2 linked regions of the Oryza sativa Japonica Group genome follow. The protein of the gene in region 1 interacts with the protein of each later gene in a pairwise test. Links are inferred from orthologs where the notes say so. Each region holds a gene or a part of one and is shown in the gene's direction. Other genes may lie near its edges.

Evidence for each region.
Region 2: the proteins of two-component response regulator-like PRR1 (region 1) and transcription factor PHYTOCHROME INTERACTING FACTOR-LIKE 13-like interact in a two-hybrid assay, tested with the Arabidopsis thaliana proteins (3 studies listed by BioGRID). The link is inferred for Oryza sativa Japonica Group from reciprocal best matches to the Arabidopsis thaliana genes TOC1 and PIL6.

Annotation. Positions count from the first base shown.
Region 1 is NC_089036.1:25,049,780-25,055,159, forward strand, and holds two-component response regulator-like PRR1, read left to right. Parts: upstream 1-2,238; 5' UTR 2,239-2,864; coding exon 2,865-3,024; intron 3,025-3,155; coding exon 3,156-3,317; intron 3,318-3,401; coding exon 3,402-3,535; intron 3,536-3,659; coding exon 3,660-3,827; intron 3,828-4,032; coding exon 4,033-4,114; intron 4,115-4,213; coding exon 4,214-5,064; 3' UTR 5,065-5,336; downstream 5,337-5,380. Other genes in the region: glutaredoxin-C4, chloroplastic, read left to right, coding at 1-55, 591-689, 878-957. UniProt on the Arabidopsis thaliana protein: Controls photoperiodic flowering response. Component of the circadian clock. Expression of several members of the ARR-like family is controlled by circadian rhythm.
Region 2 is NC_089037.1:33,401,575-33,406,731, forward strand, and holds the start of transcription factor PHYTOCHROME INTERACTING FACTOR-LIKE 13-like, read left to right. Parts: upstream 1-1,902; 5' UTR 1,903-2,371; coding exon 2,372-2,650; intron 2,651-2,771; coding exon 2,772-2,918; intron 2,919-3,040; coding exon 3,041-3,123; intron 3,124-3,229; coding exon 3,230-3,803; intron 3,804-3,888; coding exon 3,889-3,990; intron 3,991-4,067; coding exon 4,068-4,133; exon of another isoform or gene 4,134-4,205; intron 4,206-4,314; coding exon 4,315-4,380; intron 4,381-4,472; coding exon 4,473-4,760; intron 4,761-4,840; coding exon 4,841-4,963; 3' UTR 4,964-4,978; intron 4,979-5,157. UniProt on the Arabidopsis thaliana protein: Transcription factor acting negatively in the phytochrome B signaling pathway to promote the shade-avoidance response. Regulates PHYB abundance at the post-transcriptional level, possibly via the ubiquitin-proteasome pathway.

The DNA of each region.
Region 1 (5,380 bases):
CGATTGCTGGCAGAGCTGGCAGCAAGTTACAAGGCTGTTGAATTGGATGTGGAAAGTGAGTGGATTATTTTTTTTTCTGTTATTTTCTTTCTTCTGGTTATTTTTATTGTACATACTAACATATGCTAAATTTCGTCTTCTTTGCTCTCCAATCTATATACAACATATTACTCCGCCGTGCTGCATCTATTTTAGATATCATTGGATTTATTGTAGTTGAGTTTAGAGCAAAACTGGTTGCAATAATGAGTTTAATCAAATTGAAATGCTGAAAATGGCTGTAAACTTCACTCTTTTGAAAGAAACCGGCCGGTTATTTAAAGAGAAGAAAAAAAAAGAGAAATGCATTTGCAAAATTCTGACAAATAGTGCATAAAAGAGAACTAAACAACCGAACAGAGAAGAAACTACAGGGACCCACTTATAGCTCTGATACATCAACACTCAGTAGGGAGGACTAGATCGACGTTAAAACAGTGTAGAAAAAAGATCATATATTATTACATGAGTCAATTTTAGAATGTCCTGGCTATTCTTTAGTTCATACATTGTAATTTATCATTGAACTAATTCATCCTCATAATACGAAGGTGATGGGTCTGAGCTGCAGTCAGCTCTTGCCGATTGGACTGGACAGAGAACTGTTCCTTGTGTCTTCATTAAAGGGAAACATATTGGTGGCTGTGACGGTGAGTTCCTTGTTCTTAATTTGTCGTGAACTTGTGATACTAATGTCATCGGACCAACAACATTTTCATGCATTTTTATCGCTGTTTAACTTTTTTCTGAACAAGAAAATCGCTAGAACAAGGGTCACTTAGGCCAGAGTTTTTCTACACTATTTTAACGTCGATCTTCATTGATGTCTTTCAAACAGATACCATGGCGATGCACAAAGGAGGGAACTTGGTCCCTCTGCTGACGGAGGCAGGAGCAATCGCCACTCCTTCCCTGTAGATAAATACCTTTGCCAAAACGTGTTTGTGGTGTGTCAATGTCATAGAATAAAGGCGAATATATATGGGGACTTCCACTGTCAGAACAACTTATTGCTGATAGTAGTAGCTTTGGGTGACTTTCAAGCCTGTATGCAGCACTACTCTAGCTAATAACTCATTTTGTATGATTTCATTGGTAGCAATAAATATGATTAGTGCGTCCTGTGAATGAGACTGATGACATCGGCACTCCAAGCTCCTGCTACTGGCTGCCAGCCTGCCTCCAGATTTTTGAGATCGAGATGTTGTTGTGTCGTCACTGATACCAACCATCCACTCCTCTCGGTGGAAGAAATACAGCCAGTGAACTGGAGGAAACACCCTTCGTCAAAATGATTGTTTTGCCTGGCCATAGTTCAGAGCTGCAATCAAAAATCTTGGTTGTGTTTACCATTCTGCTGAATTACTGAATTACAGCGCTGGTAACAGATCAGTAAACAAACGACAGCGCTGTTAACGCTAAACCCATTTTGCAGCATCGCTGATTTGCTGCCGGAGCCCGGAGGCCACCACGTACATCGCCAGTGGCAAACAAGAAAAGCAAAGCTACAGAAAAAGCGCTAGGCCGGCGCCACGAGCCGCCACCACAAGTCCACGACCAGTCGCTCTCCGGATCGGCGTAGTGGCAATGGGCATCCCAAGTTGCCAACACGGGGAAAAAAAAAACACCCCCCATCCAGCTGCTGCTCTCTACCGGCCACTCGTCTCGTCCGGTAGCTCAAAATCTTTTACTCATCAGCCCAGCCACCACCGTATCGCCATGCTGCCCATCAAGGTCTGTACTACGTGAAAACGTGAGAGCCGCGTTTCCCTCTGGATTTTTCTCCGCCTTGGCACGTCCGCGGTGGGCTGGCGCGGCTTTCGTCGTGATCCGCAACGGAGGGCGGGGACGCGGCCACCGTGGACGCCGCCGCACGTACGTGGGCGTGGCGCTCCCACTCCCACGGCACCACCACGGCACCACCTCCCTCCGCCTCTCGCGTCGTCGTTTCCACAGTACTACTACAGTAGCGCGTCTCCCTGGCGTTCGTTCGCTGGCCCCCAGCTCGCGCGCGTGGCGGCTCCCGTATCGCACGGCCACGGCCCCACCACGCCCGCCGCCCCTAATCGCATCCGCGATTAAGATATTTCCGTGCCAGGTAGGCGTAGATATTTTCTCACCGAAATCACACGCCGCCAGGCCGGGCCCATCTGGCTTAACCACGCCCGGCTCTTCCCCTCCATCCAACCTGGCCCTCCCACCCACGGGGCCGCGGCTCGCGGCTCGTCCCGTCCCGTCCCGTGACGAATCCATTGACACCGGCACACGCACACGCACACCCGCACCGCGCGACGCGAGTACGCGACACAAACCGCTCGCGACGAGCCGTTTCGTTTATTTTTACACCGCCCCGGCGCGGCGTGACGAGGCCTTTTCTTCTTTCTTTCATCTCTCGCCGAGCCGAGCCGAGCCGAGCCGCGTGCCCCACCGAGAGAGGAAAGCAAAAGGTAGGGGGAGGAAAATATCCTGTGCCAGTAGAGCGGACACCAACGCCGCCACCACCACCGCCGCCGCCTCCTGAATAGATTAGGCGCGGATAATGGTGCGGGCCGGACCGCAACGCGCGGCGGAGGAGGACGCCGCCGGCGTCGGCGGCGGGTGGCGGCGGTAGCACACTGCTTAGCCTCTGGGGGCGATACTACTGGCGACGGCACGGGATATGGAGGAGGAGGCGCCGCCCGCAGATCCAACAACCGCTTCGTCCTCCTGCGTCGTCTAGTCTAGGCGCCGGCAGCTGCTGCTGGCTGCTGTGCTGTTCGTGCTGATTCGGACGCGTCGGCAGCTGGTGACAAGTGGCTAGGGGGGGAATCCGTGCGGGTCGGGGTATGGTGGGCGCCGGCGAGGGGGATCGCGTTGGCGGCGGGGCGGCGGTAGGGGGAGGGCAGCAGTTCGTGGACCGGAGCAAGGTGAGGATTCTGCTCTGCGACAGCGACCCAAGTAGCTCACGGGAGGTGCTCCGCCTCCTCTGCAACTGCTCATACCAAGGTCAGTTCAGCTTTGTCTGCTTAGTATTTGGTTTGCTCTTATAATTAAGGATTAAGATTGCTTTAGTAGATGAATTAGCAGTTCTATCACACCTTCTCGCATGGAATGATACGTCTTTGTTTTTGTTTCAGTGACTTGCGCCAAGTCTCCGAGGCAGGTGATCAACGTACTCAACTGCGAGGCGGGGGAGATCGACATCATCTTGGCCGAGGTCGATCTGCCCGTCTCCAAGTGCTTCAAGATGCTCAAATACATCGCCAGGAACAAGGAATTGCGCCACATCCCCATCATAAGTAAGCTGTCCTCCTATTCCTCTGATGCCCATGCTCGTAGGGTTGTTGTAGTGACCATCCTCATCTTTGATGCGAATTATGCAGTGATGTCCAACAGAGACGAGGTCTCTGTTGTTGTCAAGTGCTTGCGTCTCGGGGCAGCCGAGTACCTGGTCAAGCCACTGCGCATGAACGAGCTGCTGAACCTCTGGACCCATGTGTGGCGGCGAAGGCGGATGGTAAAGGGGACTATGTTGATTCATCTTCAAATTCTGTGTTGAAAAGCATGCTCTAAGCTGAGATGGCTGTGGCGTTGCTGTAGCGTGTATGAGTTGATCTTAAGTTGAATGTTGGTGTTGGCAGCTTGGTTTGTCGGAGAAAAACTTCTTCAATGACAATTTCGAGTTGGCGTTATCGGAACCTAGTGACGCCAATACCAACAGCACCACTCTTCTCTCGGATGACACAGATGATAAGCCAAAAGAAAACATTAATCAAGAAACAAGCACCTCGAATCAACATGAATATGAGGTAACCAATCAAGTACTAGTTATCCTTTTATATTTTGCTGTCCAACATACTACTTCTCTATTTAGTATCTTTCTACCTTTGTGTTCTGTTTAGATGCTAGAGCATGCCTTTTTGCCTCATATGTTCAATTGATGATGATAAGATGCTGAATTTTTTGCATCAGTCTACTTGTTAAATGCCCTTGCATTTCTTGATATGTTTGCAGTCTAATCCTTCTGATGCTGAGCCTAAACAAAAAGGCACACCAGAGGGTTTACTAGTCTCTACTGAAGGCGGCGACCAAGCTTGTAAGTATCTTGAGCCTTAAACCATTTCCTTTAGCTGATTTAGCAGATCCCCCAATTGAAGAATAGTTTCTAAGGTTTATGCCTTTGCTTTTATGCCAGCATCTCCCGGAGTAATGTTTTCACGTCCAATAAAGACTAACTTGAGGGTTGCTGAGTCTTCTGCTTTTCTAGCTTATGTTAAGTCAAGCACCCCAACTACCAGCTCATTTGACAGCGAACTACAAAAAGGTGGAAATCGGTTAGACTCTTCGGATCACAGGGGTAATTTCTCTAGTACAACTGACAGAAGTGACACTGGCACTGATGTAAATATTCGGGATAAAGAAGCCTTTGAGATGCCAGTGCAATACCCTGTGGTATGCTTTTCTTCCTCTAACTTGCATCTGGAGCGAAGCAATGAAGGCCAAAATGATGCTTCAGGAACTCCTCCTGTATATCATTTTCCCTTTTATTACCCAGGGATGATGGACCACGGTATGACACATCCTCCGGTGCAAAATTTCCAAGGGAACATAAACAACGCTCAAGTGCATACACCACAAACGTTGCTCCCTCAGTATAATGTTTATCCCCAATGTCATGGTGTATCTATGATGCCACCATTTCAGTATAATCCTGCTGGTATGAGCATTCAATCAAATCAACTGCCAACACAAAATATGTGGCCACAGGCATCAAGCACACCAATGCCCGAGGAAACATGTAGTCGGTCTGAACGGAGAGCTGCAGCACTTGCCAAATTCAGGCTGAAAAGGAAGGAACGTTGTTTTGACAAGAAGGTGAGGTACGTGAATAGGAAGAAACTTGCTGAAACAAGGCCGAGGGTGCGAGGGCAATTTGTTAGACAGGCAAACTATACAGATATAACCAGCACTGGAGATGATATCTCAGAAGATGAAGATGATGATCCATCCTCCAGGGAGGTAGAGATGGTTTCTTCTCCAGAGTAGTTTGAAAGGTTTTCCTATATGTAAAATAGAGTGCAGATGATTACTGCTCACTTTGCAACTCATTAGATGTAGGCAATACATTTCTTCTGCTTTTAACTAGGCAATACATCCACTCGCTCACACACAATACATCCTTTTTGTCCCCCAAGGAACTTGTGGCATATCCATCACTGTTACTATGGACGTTTTGGAGAAAATCATCTTTGAAGGTGAGATGTAATTATGCTAGTTAGTGATGCATAGGCCAGTCTAGATCGTAACCATCTTGTTTCAGAATCTTATAGGACTTTACTCAGTGCTCCTTCTTAGACACGTT
Region 2 (5,157 bases), on another chromosome or scaffold:
TTCTTTATTTGACCCATAGTTTGAGCATCATCAACTCCTCAACCAAATCAGTATAAATTGAGTGTATGGTTAAATGGGAGATAAATTGTAATATGATTACTTAGTGTGACATTTGAATTTATTTCCAATATTATATAGTAAAACTAGAGCCAAATCTTAATAAAATAAAATTTGCAAGCAAAATTTTCTTTGGACCTTAGTGACCACATCCTATGGATGAGATGTTGCTGTCAGCAAAGAGCTTAAGCTATCTTAGTTCTTTGTCTTCACAAGAATGGGGACACCCTGCAGATCTTCTCTGAAGATGAGAAGGCACTGCCCTGTAATCTACATCTGAGCTCCCATTGGCTCAAACTCACCTGGCTCAAGATCACAACAGCACAGCCTGCATCCCAAGAAGAAAAAGAAAACTTCTTTTTTTTTCTCATCACAAGATCACAAAACTGCAGAAAGGAACAGGGAATGGAAAACGTCAGAATGGAATGATCCAGAGGGGCTAGACTAGTAGTAGTAGCTAGATAACCCCAAGCCGAGCTAGCAATGATCCAAATCCCACAGTTGCTTTCCTATGGCTTTGGATGTTGGGGGCACATTTCGTTTTCAGATTATGCCCAGATGCAAGTAGAGCACATGTCGTTTCAAATTATTCCGAAATATTACTGTCTTGAAAGAGATGCTAACTTCGCATTGCTCCAAAGGAATCGTATGCTCCTGTGTTTCGTTTCAGAAATAAAGAAATTTTGGTTTTTTGGCGCACCGTTTTCAGATTCTTTGAACTGGTATGATTGGAATGATTTTGCAGCCGATTCCAAGGGAACAAAACTAACCACTTCTTGTCAAATTAAAACTTGCACTTAACCAATACAATCATGAGAGTGATGACATGTTTTTTTTTGGGTGATTTCAGAAACAGAACCGTCAGGGTCACTGTTGGTGAGTTTGGTCTCATATGATGAAGTAAGCTGAATTGAAGAAGGGAGAATCATTTCTGGTCATTGCCCTGCCCCCCATAGAAAGAATTTTATGCGTATCTCCAATGCTAGTGGTGGGCAATACTTGGCATGGTATCCATCAAGGCATCAAGCACCATTGCTCATCAATTTTCATAAAAACATATTTATCAACTACATACTACCTTTCTAAAACAAACACTAAAAATATGCTTTGACTCTCAAAAAGGTTTCAAAGAACATTTTATCTAAGGATCGTTCCTATGCTTCACCGAAACTATATAGCTAGACAACATACAAAATTAGCTAAGGTGGAGCTGGTATACAAGGCCTGCGTAGAGGTCGGATTTAATCCATTGTCTTAAAAAAAGTATACAATGCCTTGTTATTAAAAAGTAAAAAGACATGGGAGATCCTAATATATAATGTTTTGTAAATATTTCTTCAAGATTTGTTTATGGTTTAGTAAAACTCCTCGGGAAATTCCAACAATATTTTGGGAAGATACCTTGACTAAGAAAAAAAATCCCCAAAGAACAAAAAAACACTCTACCTCAGGCTGTCAAAAACATGCCAGGATGGGCAATGTGATGAATAGTCCTATTGAGGTCTCTTTCTGTAGAGAAACTATCGAAAAACTAAATTTATGGCTTGGAGCAAACTCAGTTCAGAGTCATCAATTATATGTTTATCGCAACAGTGAGATGGGACCAACATCAGAAAGGAGAGAAGATTTCCTGTCCAATCTGTTTACATGGCATTGATGCACAACAATGTTCCCAAATAAACCAGACTCTATGGCATCAACAAATACCTCCAAAAATTACTTACTAGCATTTTTCCAATGCTTCCTGTGTAGGGGTCTGAATTTGACCAAAGATAACCAATGGAATCAACAGGCTGGTGCAGATAATTAGCTACCTGTTTAATAGATCATCTTGATCATTTTTTTGCAAAGAATTAACTACCCCAGCTAGATCCACATCAGTCAAATTATAATCCAGTATGAATAAAGTATATTACTACGACATCAACATGCATATGATGCATTGATGCATACAGTGATACAGGCTTACAACATCAGTTACATACTCTTAGGCTGTGTTTAGTTTCTAAAATTGGGGAGAAGTTTGGAGAAAGTTGGTAGTTTGAAAAAAAAGTTAGGAGTTTATGTGAGTAGAAAAGTTTTGGATACGATGAAAAGTTGGTAGTTTGGGGAAGTTTGGTGTGAAGTTAAACAGGCCTAGATAGGAGAAGAAAGTACAGAAGCAGAAACCATTAGTTTACAGAGCCCTAAGCTTGCAGCAGCAGCAGCAGCAGAAGTAGCAGAGAAGTGGGAGAGCGATGTATCCATTCCTGCAAATCCAAGTTGGCAATTCCGAGGGCCGACATATATCCCACTCCAAGGAGATCCGACAACGATGCCCAACCCAAGCAGCTTGCTTGCATCTCCATCTCCTCCTCATCGGAACTCCTCCTCCTCCTCCTCCATCTCCATTATTTCCACCCCGGCAACAATCCAACCGGACGCAGCCCACGGGCCTTGTTCCCTTCTCACCACCTCCAAGTACGCTTTGCGGGACACTCGCGGCAGCAAGAGTTCGTATACTCGCCTCTGCTGCTGCTGCACTGCCGCGCCTAAAGCTGAGCAAGAAGAGGAGACTTTGCAGCAAGAGTTGCTACTGTTTGGTTTGGTTCAGGTGAGAGAGGTCAACAATAGCTGTTGGCGTGGCTAGTTGCTTGTGCAGAAAAGGATTCTCTTTTGGTTTTGCCCTTTCTGAGAAGCTGATGATGATGTGGTGGTGGGCTATGGTTGTGCAGGTTGGGGAGCTACTAGAAGAAGGAGGAATAGCTAGGTTGGGTAGCTCAGCTTTGCTCTCCTTTTATTTTTTATTTTTTTTTCTGTTTGTTCCAAGGTTTCTTGCATCACTTTGCGGCTTATCTTGTTGGTTTTCCTTCTATTTTAAGGTGTAAAGTTTGTCTCCTTGTCTTGGTTGTGCTTGCTGTTCTTGTTTGTTTCAACCAACTTGTGCAGTTATACTTGATGCTTAATGCTTCTTTTTTTTTCTTTTTCTATGTGGTTTATGCAGGTTGTGAATTTCTTGGGGGGACACAAGAATCGTGGGATGGATGGCAATGCGAGATCGGCGGCGAATCAGACGAAGCAAATCGTGTAGAGATTTCATCTGAAACCCAAGAACGGATTCGTCTTGTGTTGTTGCCGAATGGTAGTGACCTGACCTGACTCTGTGTGCATTTGCTCCAATGGCGATTTGCAGCACGGACAACGAGCTGGTGGAGCTGCTATGGCACAACGGCGGCGTCGTGGCGCAGCCGCAGGCGGCGCAGGCGAGGGTCGTCTCCTCCTCCGGCCGCGGCCAGAGCGCCAGCGTGCTCACCGGCGACGACACGGAGACCGCCGCGTGGTTCCCGGACACCCTCGACGACGCGCTGGAGAAGGACCTCTACACGCAGCTCTGGCGCAGCGTCACCGGCGACGCGTTCCCGGCGGCCGCGGCGGCGGGGCCGAGCTCTCACCACGCTCCGCCGCCGGACTTGCCGCCCCCGGCGGCGAGGCCGCCGATGAGGAGCGGCATCGGGTCGAGCTGGACCGGCGACATCTGTTCGGCCTTCTGCGGCAGCAACCACATCCCGGAGACGGCGGCGCAGCGCTGCCGGGACGCCGGCGCGGCATTGCCGCCGGAGCGGCCGCGCCGGTCGAGCACCCACGACGGCGCCGGCACGTCGTCGTCGGGCGGCTCCGGCAGCAACTTCGGCGCTTCCGGCTTGCCCAGCGAGAGCGCCAGTGCCCACAAGAGGAAAGGCAGAGAAGATTCAGACAGTCGCAGTGAGGTGATCTTTTTTTTTTCGTTGGCTGTAACCTGCAACTTGCTATGCTTGAGATGAATTCTTGAATGAAACTGATGAGAAATTTCAGGATGCTGAATGCGAGGCAACCGAAGAGACCAAATCGTCGTCGCGGCGATATGGATCAAAGAGGAGAACTCGTGCAGCTGAAGTTCATAACCTGTCAGAGAGGGTGAGATCATCAAATACAGCTACTGATCTTAAGAGATAAATTTTTAGTAGTCATCCTAAAAGATGATACTGATGTAGAGAAGAAGGGATCGGATCAACGAGAAGATGCGCGCATTGCAAGAACTCATACCTCATTGCAACAAGGTAAGAAACATTATTATATATGCATCTTTTTTCTGATCAGGTGCAAGTCCATGGACTGATACAGCTATGTTGGTGAGTGGTGGCATATCTGATCTATCCTTTGTTGATATGATTCTCTTTTTTATTCAAACCTTTTGGGTTTACTTTACTAACTGCAGTTATCTATATATTTTTCAATTAGACCGACAAGGCATCTATATTAGATGAAGCAATCGAGTATCTGAAGTCACTCCAAATGCAAGTTCAGGTTTGAACTACTGTTTCTTGTATCTGAACTTACATGGTCCTACATGAGGCCAATTACTAGCACAGATTGAGATTGTCGAATCTGTGCCTCAGATCATGTGGATGACTACTGGGATGGCACCAATGATGTTCCCTGGTGCTCACCAGTTCATGCCACCAATGGCCGTGGGCATGAATTCTGCGTGCATGCCTGCGGCACAAGGCCTAAGTCACATGTCAAGATTGCCATACATGAACCATTCTATGCCAAATCACATCCCTCTAAATTCATCTCCAGCTATGAACCCAATGAATGTTGCAAACCAGATGCAGAACATTCAACTGAGAGAGGCAAGCAATCCCTTCCTTCACCCAGATGGCTGGCAAACAGTGCCACCACAGGTACAAAAATACCATACTGACAAAGGGAATTTTCAGGCCTCTTTGATTGTTCACCTAGATTAGGCATTGGTCATTTGCAGGTATCAGGACCATATGCTTCTGGGCCTCAAGTAGCACAGCAAAACCAGATACCGAAAGCGTCAGCTAGCACTGTTCTGCCAAATTCTGGGGCTGAACAACCACCAACCTCTGATGGAATTTAGAATGACCAGAAACATGTAAGCACTTGCACCAATCAGTACATCTGCCTATTTACTTCAAATGATGTTGAGATAACTAGAGCTGCGTATCGCTACTTGTATGTATTACTATTGTTTTCAGCCAATATATCTGTATTGAACACGATCGGCAATTTGTGCCGTCACTTTTTGTCAGCTTAAGCTTTCAGAGCAACTAG